Mus musculus: one gene and its partner. The protein of the gene in region 1 purifies or fractionates together with the protein of each later gene. This does not show direct contact. Links are inferred from orthologs where the notes say so. Each region holds a gene or a part of one and is shown in the gene's direction. Other genes may lie near its edges. The genes, in order: Nfya and Ep300.

Region 1 (4,236 bases):
ATTTTAAAGTATCTGTAAAAGGAAAGTGATGGATGGTTATTATCTGCCTAGGGTTGTATTAGCCTTTTCTAAGTAAATCAGCTAGAGAGAAACAAACAGGGAGGGGCGAGAATCCAATTATTGGTTTAATTAAAAAGTGTTTATGCTTTTGACCTCAATTATTCTGATTTTCACTTCACCGATAAATTTAATAGCTGTTACGCACTCGACTTCCTTCTGGATCTTCATTAAGGCGGGTGGCCATGCTACTGAGTCGCTATTTCCAGAATTTAAGAGTTCCTTCTGCTAATGAAAAGGAAAAGCAAGTAAAAAAATACCGCTCAGGCAGCCCGAACATAGCGTGTTCAGATCACCCTGACAACCCATTTAGTCTTCCCCACCTCCTTAAGGTATTCTTTCTGGATGTGAGCTCACTCAGCCTCTAAGAGGCAACACAAAACAGCTTTCCAGGAGCCGAAGCAAAGGCGGTCCTAAGACACACCTCCTTACTTCTAGCAGGGAAGGTTTAGGACAGTCCAGAATTTTCCCAGAGAATATAGCTTAGAACGGGAAAGACCTGGCCACAGTTACACTGAGCGGCAGGGTGAGCCGAGAACTGCTTCTCAGGGGAAGATCACCACCAGTCTTGGAGGTACAGGAAGGAAGGTCTGATAAGACTTCCCCGTCTCTCCTCCTACCCTAAGGAGGGCAACCCTGGGATCCCGCAGAAAAGTGGGTACTGGGGGGTCATCCTTCACCTGCAAAGGAATCGGCCGTCAGCAGGCCCTCCTCCAAGCAGGGAAGGGTTCGGGATGAAACCCTCGTAGGTAGGAAAGCAACAGAAGAGTCCCGACACGCAACAAATCCCGCCAAAGCCTTTTGATTGTACGCACACTCAAGATGGCCGCCCCCATCCCTTAACGGGGCGGAAGTGAGCCTCTCTAGCTGGGTAGCGGCGCCCGCTCTCGGTAGTAAGGGCTTCAGAATTTCCGGCGGGAAATTCCGTAGGCTCCCGCTACCGCTCAGGCATGCGTACCGAGATGCCGACCCCGACTGGAGAAGAAGAGCGCTTGCGCATTCGGCCCCAGAGGGTGGGTCCCAGTGGACGCTTAGAAATAGGTGGGCAGGGGGGCGTGTCAGCGCCTGCGTGGTATATAATTCAGGGAGGTGTTTAAGCAGCAGCGTACGGAGCGTGTGAAAGGCGCCTGCGTAGGCCTTTGGCGGGAGGCGGTGTCAAATCCAGGAAGTGGGTGTGGCCTCTGGAACGCCTGCGCGGTGCTCTTCCTAGGGGGCGGGGCCAGGCTGGCCGGGGTTATGGGGCGTGGTCTCGAAGGCGCTTGCGCGAAGGCGGTTGGAGGGAGGCCCGATTCCCCTTTGTTCAGATTCGCCATTTTGCGAGGCAGCGGCAGTGGCGGCGGCAGCGGCGGCTGGAGCCTCTGATTGGGTTTCGGGGTCCGGTACTGGAGCCAATCAGCGCGGGCAGCGAACCGGGGGAGCGAGGCACGGTGAGTATGAGGAGCCAATATCCAGCGGCCCAGAGCCGGCCCCAGCGCCCCGATTGGCGGGTCTCGCTGACCACTCAGGAGAGGCCCAGGCGTCCGTCGAGCCCGGGAGTCGAGCCGAGGCTGCCCGAGCTGGGTAGCCAGTAGCCCCGGCTCGGAGTTGGTGGAGGCCTGCAGGGGCCGTCCAGCGTTGGGACGGCGTCCTGGAGCCAGGCTTTTCGGGATCTGGATCGTCTCCGGGGGCCGGTGGCGGATGCGCCACCGGTCCCCGATCCTCGGTCCCGAGAGGTCAGGTGGCTGACCGCCCAGCCACGGACCGTGGCGGTTTCCCCACGTCGTTCCAGCCTCATCCTACGGCCTGTCCTTGTGTGTCCCCACATTCCGGGCCCCGACGAGGCCCGTGTGTCCTGAGCTCTGCACAGTTGGGGCTACAGATCCGGAGCGAGGCCAGACTGAGACGCGCGGCGCGGCCTCCCAAGACCCACCCCGGGGCCGTTGGCGCGCCTGCCGCGCCCCTCCTCTCGGCCCGCCACCGGGGCTCCCGGGCCGGCGCCGTTACCACCCCTTTCTGGCTCGTCATTTCCTCCCCGCTCAGCCCGCGGTGCCGGCACACCTCCGTGCTGGAGCCCAACCAAGCACTCTTCCTCTTTTTGCTCAGTGTCTCGGTGTTTGAAACGCCGCTGTTGCAGAACTGATAACCCTTGTGCATCCTTAATGATTGGGGGCACACATCTCGCAGTTCCTATTATCCCTGTCTCCTCCCTTGATCTTTTCTCCCTTGGATGCTCTCTGGTTTTGTTTTCCTTTAATCTCTCCACTCAATAGCTCGGCCCACTCGTGTCTCTTTTTTCTAATACACCTTGAAATCCCGCGCGAACGTTTTCTCAACTGATGTTTTAAAACTTACACGTGCTTAGATTTTCTTTCCCCCTTCGGGGGACAGGAAGTCTTCCAAGGACTGCTAGCTATTAGTCTTTGGCGGACGTCACCCAAGTGCTGCAAGCGAGTAGGGCTAGGAGCTATGTCTGCTCGGTGGAGATTGACTGGTGTTAGTGTTTCATAGGGATCTGATCCAGTACCCAGAAGTGCACTTTACATGAGGAAGCCTATTTTCAGCGCCACGCTTTTGATTGGTGATGGAGGGTGATGTCCTCAGAGAGGAAAGACTGAAAAGAGTAACTGGAACAGATAGTGCGGTTGGACGCAGAAAGGCCGGGAGTACTGAGTTTAGGCGGGAAAGTCCAGTTGGTAAAAACCTTTGCAGGTCTTACAAAGGAATTTTTTGAAAACGGTTTTGACTGGAGGTTAAAAGTTAATCTAGAGTGGATTTCTCCCCTAACCTTGGGGGTGAAGGTTGCTGACCTGAGGATTCTACCCCATAGTCTTGTATTTGGACTGGGTGTTCTAACTTTGATTGGTATTTAAAAAAAAAAAATGGATGCATATGTCCACCTCAAAACTGCCAAATGTTTTTGTGGACAAAAGGCAGTTCTCCTCAGTCACTGTGACTCAGACCTGTGGAGCCTCCACTGGTTCCTCTGCATCTGCACTTTAAGAAAAAGTAGTGCAGACTCTCGATTTCTCTAATCTAATCACAGCCCAGGCATCTCCCTTTGTTTGAAATACTTCACCCTATACTACCTTCATCTGGGTGAGATCTCAGACTTAAACCTAACTCACATGACACCCTTTCCCAGTGCTTTCCTTGGTTTGTCCCCAGTGGAAAAGCCTCTGTCCCCCAAACTCCATTTACTGTATTTCCCTTTAGGAGTCTAATACACATTTTTGTTCCTTTTTAGACTTAAAAGCCTCTTTGAAGTTAACTTGTTTTGTTATTTAGTTCATGCTATCTCCTTAGTGGAGACAAGGAGCACACTGGAGCCTTCAAAGGCCCTAGCTGGGTGTGTGTGTGTGATGCCAGGTCAGATGGACTGCGGTGATCAGATGCTTATTGTAGGAGCATTTCTGGGCATTTCAGCTTTTGAAGATTCTAAGTGCTGGCCAGCTACTTCTGTGCCATGTAAATGGGCAGGAAATGCTATGGAAGAGAATGTCTCAGAGGCCAGAATAAACCCATTCTCATTCCTATTCATTCATATTCTCACTTTCAAAAACACATTCACAAGTCTGTAGAAGAGCTAGACAGACTAAATCCAGCTGGCTCAATTCTGTCATAAACTTGGGCACAGAAAGCGTAAGGAAAGGAAGTGTGTCAGGTTGTGTCACAGTTCTGCTGGCTGAGTTGATGGAGGAAGGAGCATATGGCCGCACTGGAGCCAAGAAGTCGGCACCATGGGCAACCTGAGGGTTGTGCTCCAAGCGCCACCACTCCCTTATCAATGCAGAATGGCTGCTGGGTTTGAAGCTGCCTCCAAAGCCCAGTAGGTTTCAATGGCCTAAGAGTGGAGCATTTGTATCAGCAAGATAACTGAGTCAACTCCAAATGTTCCTTACAGCTATTCCAGCCCTCTTGCCCACTTCAGGCTCCATTCTGCATTTAATCTGAGACGATGCAGACTTAGGACATTTAGCCAAGAAGAAAGTTTTATAGGAAAGCGTCTTGGGGCTAGTGGAAGCGGTAAAATACAGAGGTTGTTAATATCTTAAAAAAAAAAACTTTAAAATCTAATCCTTGTATATCTGTATTTTGGTGAGTTTTTAAAGCTCTCCACACCTGTACAGTCCCACTTGAAAAAAAGGGTGAGAACTTTGGTCATCCCCAAAATGGTCGTAGAGCTAGCTCATCTATTCAGTC
Region 2 (3,810 bases), on another chromosome or scaffold:
CCATGACTACAAGGTCAGTTGGAACATAGAAACATACTAGTCTACTATTTTCTGTCTTCTCTTTGACAAGTATTGTTCAGTTTTTTTTTTTTTTGGTTTTTTTGGTTTTTCGAGACAGGGTTTCTCTGTGTAGCCCTGGCTACCCTGGAACTCACTTTGTAGACCAGGCTGGCCTCGAACTCAGAAATCTGTCTGCCTCTGCCTCCTGAGTGCTGGGATTAAAGGCATGCACCACCATGCCCGGCTTTGTTCAGTCTTATAACGTGTAACTGTTATAATTTTAGTTTATTAAAGTTTAATTTTAATACATAAATTTTCAAATTTAGAAAGGCTGGGTGTTAGGTGATTTACATATGAGCAAAGTAGTGCTTGCCTATAATCTCAATTTGGAAACTGAGGCAGGATAATTCAAAGTTCAAAAGTGTCATGGGGGTCTGGAGAAATGGATCAGTAATTTAGAGCACTTGGACTCAGATTTGATTCCCAGCACCCAGATGGTTACTCACATCCATCCTTGACTCTTAATTCCAGGGGCCTCTGTGAGCACACATGTGCATGCAGTCAAACATGTATACATATAAAATAAATCTAATTTTTAATAATTAAATCTGTCATAAGTAAGATGGTGGTACATGTCTTTACTCTAAGTGGATAGACAAAGGCAGGTAGATCTCTGAGTTTGAGGCCAGACTTGTTTATATAGGGAGTTGCAGGCCATCCTGGGCTAAGGGACACTTTGTCTCAAAAAAGAAAGAACTGGGTATGGTTCAGAATTCAGGAGACTGGAGTAGATAGATCTCTTGAGTTCTAAGGAGACCAGCCAGCCTGCTTTACATAGTGAGCTCTGTACATAGTGAACCAAGGGTAGATAGATAGTGATACCCTCTCTAAAAGAAAGAAGGAAATACATTGTTATAAATGAGTATTGTGACTAAATCTGGCCTGTGCCCTAGAGAACATTTTCATGTTTGTCATACAATGAAAGCTTTTTAAAAACAGAGCCAACCAGGTGGTTGTGGTACATGTGCCCGCCTTCAGTCCCAGCACTCAGGAAGGACAGGCAGATCTCTCTGAGTTTGAGGCCAGCCTGGTCTATAGAGTTCCAGGAAAGCCAGGGCAATATAGAGAAACCCTGTCTCAAAAAATAAATAGAGCTGGGCATGGTGGCACACGCCTTTAATCCCAGCACTTGGGAGGCAGAGGCAGGCAGATTTCTGAGTTCGAGGCCAGCCTGGTCTACAGAGTAAGTTCCAGGATAGCCAGGACTACACAGAGAAACCCTGTCTCGAAAAAAAAACAAACAAAAAACAGATAGATAGATAGATAGATAGATAGATAGATAGATAGATAGATAGATAGATAGATATTTTAAAAAGAAAGCATAGAAATTCCTAATCAGGGGCTGGAGAGATGGCTCAGTGGTTAAGAGCACTGACTGCTCTTCCGAGGTCCTGAGTTCAATTCCCAGCAAACAAACGGTGGCTCACAACCATCTGTAATGGGAGGATCCTGATACCTTCTTCTGGTTTCTGAAGACAGCTACAGAGTACTTACAGACATAAATAAACCTTTATAAATAAAAAAAAAATTCTAATCATGGGAATTTTTTTACAGGATATTTTAAAACAAGCTACTGAAGATCGATTAACAAGTGCAAAGGAACTACCCTACTTTGAAGGTGATTTCTGGCCCAATGTTCTAGAAGAAAGCATCAAGGAGCTTGAACAGGAAGAGGAAGAGAGGAAACGGGAAGAGAACACCAGCAACGAGAGTACTGATGTAAGGGCTTTCTGTGTCTGCAGTGTCTACCTTGACACCTCACTGACAATACAGAAAGGAGTTTACACTCTCAATTTGGTGTAAAATTTAAATTCTGCTAAGTGTAATGGGCTTCATTTCAGCACTAAGGGTCCCAGACTTCAAGGCCAACCTTGGCTTTATAGCAGCCAAACTATCTTAGAACGAAGAGGCTCTGTATTTCTAAGTAGTATCCTGGATATTGAGCAATATAAGTTCCTGGAAAACTGTACAGAAAAATACATCTAATAGGCCAAATTATAGCTACTACAGGCATATGCTCTCTAGTTTATTTTCCCAGAAGTGCTGAGCATCACAGGCAGACAAAAGCCTGGAACAGAGTTAACTTGTCTCCTTCATAGTATCCTGGTCAGTTACTGACCAGACACATCTTGACTGTTCTCTGGATTTCAGCTTAATAAAACGGGGGCAGGTTAGAAGGAGTGACACACACCTTTTTATTTCAGCACTCAGGAGGCAGAAGTAGGCAGATACACATTGAGTTCCAATGCCAGACTTCTATATAGTGAAACCTTGTCCAAAAAGAAGGGGAAAAAAAAGGCTGGAGCACTTGGCCACCAAACCCAGAATTCATTCCCTAAACCCACATGGTTGAAGCAGAGAATCAGCCTCCCATAAGTTGTCCTTTGGCCTCTACAGGTGTGTGCCATGGTATGCACAAATACAAGGGCCCTAGATGACTAAGTTTGGCTCCAGGACCTTTTAAGGCAAGCATGGCAGTGCCCATCCGTAATCTCAAGTTCTCTGTGTTTCTCCCTCTCCCTCCCCTCCCCCACTCCACCCCACCCCTTATTTACCAGATTTATCCTTTGGGTAACTTCATGACTGAATAGGTGAGAGTGTTTGGTAGCTTGCTGGTTTCCCTCTTCCTTTCCTTGGTCACCGGCCATGGTGCCACTCATTCTTCAGTCTTGTCTGTATCTGACCTCTTTAGTCAATGGCTTCTGCACACTGGGGCTTTTCTGTTTTTTCTTCTTGTTTTTTGTTTTGTTTTCTAAAGACCGTTTCCCTGTGTAGCCGTGGCTTTCCTGGGACTCACTCTATAGACCAGGCTGGCCTTTACCTCAGAGATCTGCCAGCCTCTGTTTCTTGAGTGCTGGGATTAAATTCATCGGTCCCCAGTGCCCAGCAAATTGAGACTTCTTCTAAAAATACAAGTTTACAAGCTTTCATTTCCATAATGAAGCTTGGGGTCTTTGTTGGCAGGCAACTTAGAAAGGCTTCAGAGTACTTGATGTTCTTCAAAAGGAACCCAGTTCAGTTCTTTTCCCTGTACCCAAAACAACATCTCTTAACTTTCTGTAACTCCAGTTTTGTTATCAGAGAGAGAACCTGCACACAGATGGCATACATTCATCAAGCTACACAGATAAACAAAAAAAAAATAGTTAAGCATTTGCTTGCAAGTTAAAGAAAGAAAGAAGGAAGGAAGTAAGGAGAGAGAGAGAGAGAGAGAGAGAGAGAGAGAGAGAGAGAGAGAGAGAAAAGAAACATTAAAAGGAAAATAGTGAGTGATGAGTAACTGCAGAAAATAATAATAATAAAAAGAATTCTCGGTCAAGAGTTAAAGAGAGACTTCAGCCTCATATCCAGATCAATCCTAACAACCTAGCCTTTTCATTTCTCCTCTGTGCTGCCCTACAGGTAACAAAAGGAGACAGCAAAAATGCTAAGAAGAAGAATAACAAGAAAACCAGCAAAAACAAGAGCAGCCTGAGTAGGGGCAATAAGAAGAAGCCTGGTATGCCCAATGTGTCTAATGACCTTTCTCAGAAACTGTATGCCACCATGGAAAAGCATAAAGAGGTGAGAGGCAGCCACCAGGGTGGAAGGATGTGGCAGGTGGGGTTCTAAGCTGCTCACCCAACTGGCATGATGAAAACTCCAGGTTGCTGGAAATTCAGAGGGAAGAAATGATTTGACTGGAAGAGGGTTGACTGAGATGAAGAGAATATGCATATAGAGTTTGCTTATGAAAAATGTTCTTTGAGG

Evidence for each region.
Region 2: the proteins of Nfya (region 1) and Ep300 purify together in Homo sapiens (affinity purification with western blotting, with the first as the bait; 3 studies listed by BioGRID). This does not show direct contact. The link is inferred for Mus musculus from reciprocal best matches to the Homo sapiens genes NFYA and EP300.

Annotation. Positions count from the first base shown.
Region 1 is NC_000083.6:48,406,874-48,411,109, reverse strand, and holds the start of Nfya (nuclear transcription factor Y subunit alpha), read left to right. Parts: upstream 1-1,289; 5' UTR 1,290-1,484; intron 1,485-4,236. Other genes in the region: ADP-ribose glycohydrolase OARD1, read right to left, coding at 206-244. UniProt on the Homo sapiens protein: Component of the sequence-specific heterotrimeric transcription factor (NF-Y) which specifically recognizes a 5'-CCAAT-3' box motif found in the promoters of its target genes.
Region 2 is NC_000081.6:81,641,413-81,645,222, forward strand, and holds part of Ep300 (histone acetyltransferase p300), read left to right. Parts: coding exon 1-13; intron 14-1,614; coding exon 1,615-1,779; intron 1,780-3,462; coding exon 3,463-3,624; intron 3,625-3,810. UniProt on the Homo sapiens protein: Functions as a histone acetyltransferase and regulates transcription via chromatin remodeling. Acetylates all four core histones in nucleosomes. Histone acetylation gives an epigenetic tag for transcriptional activation.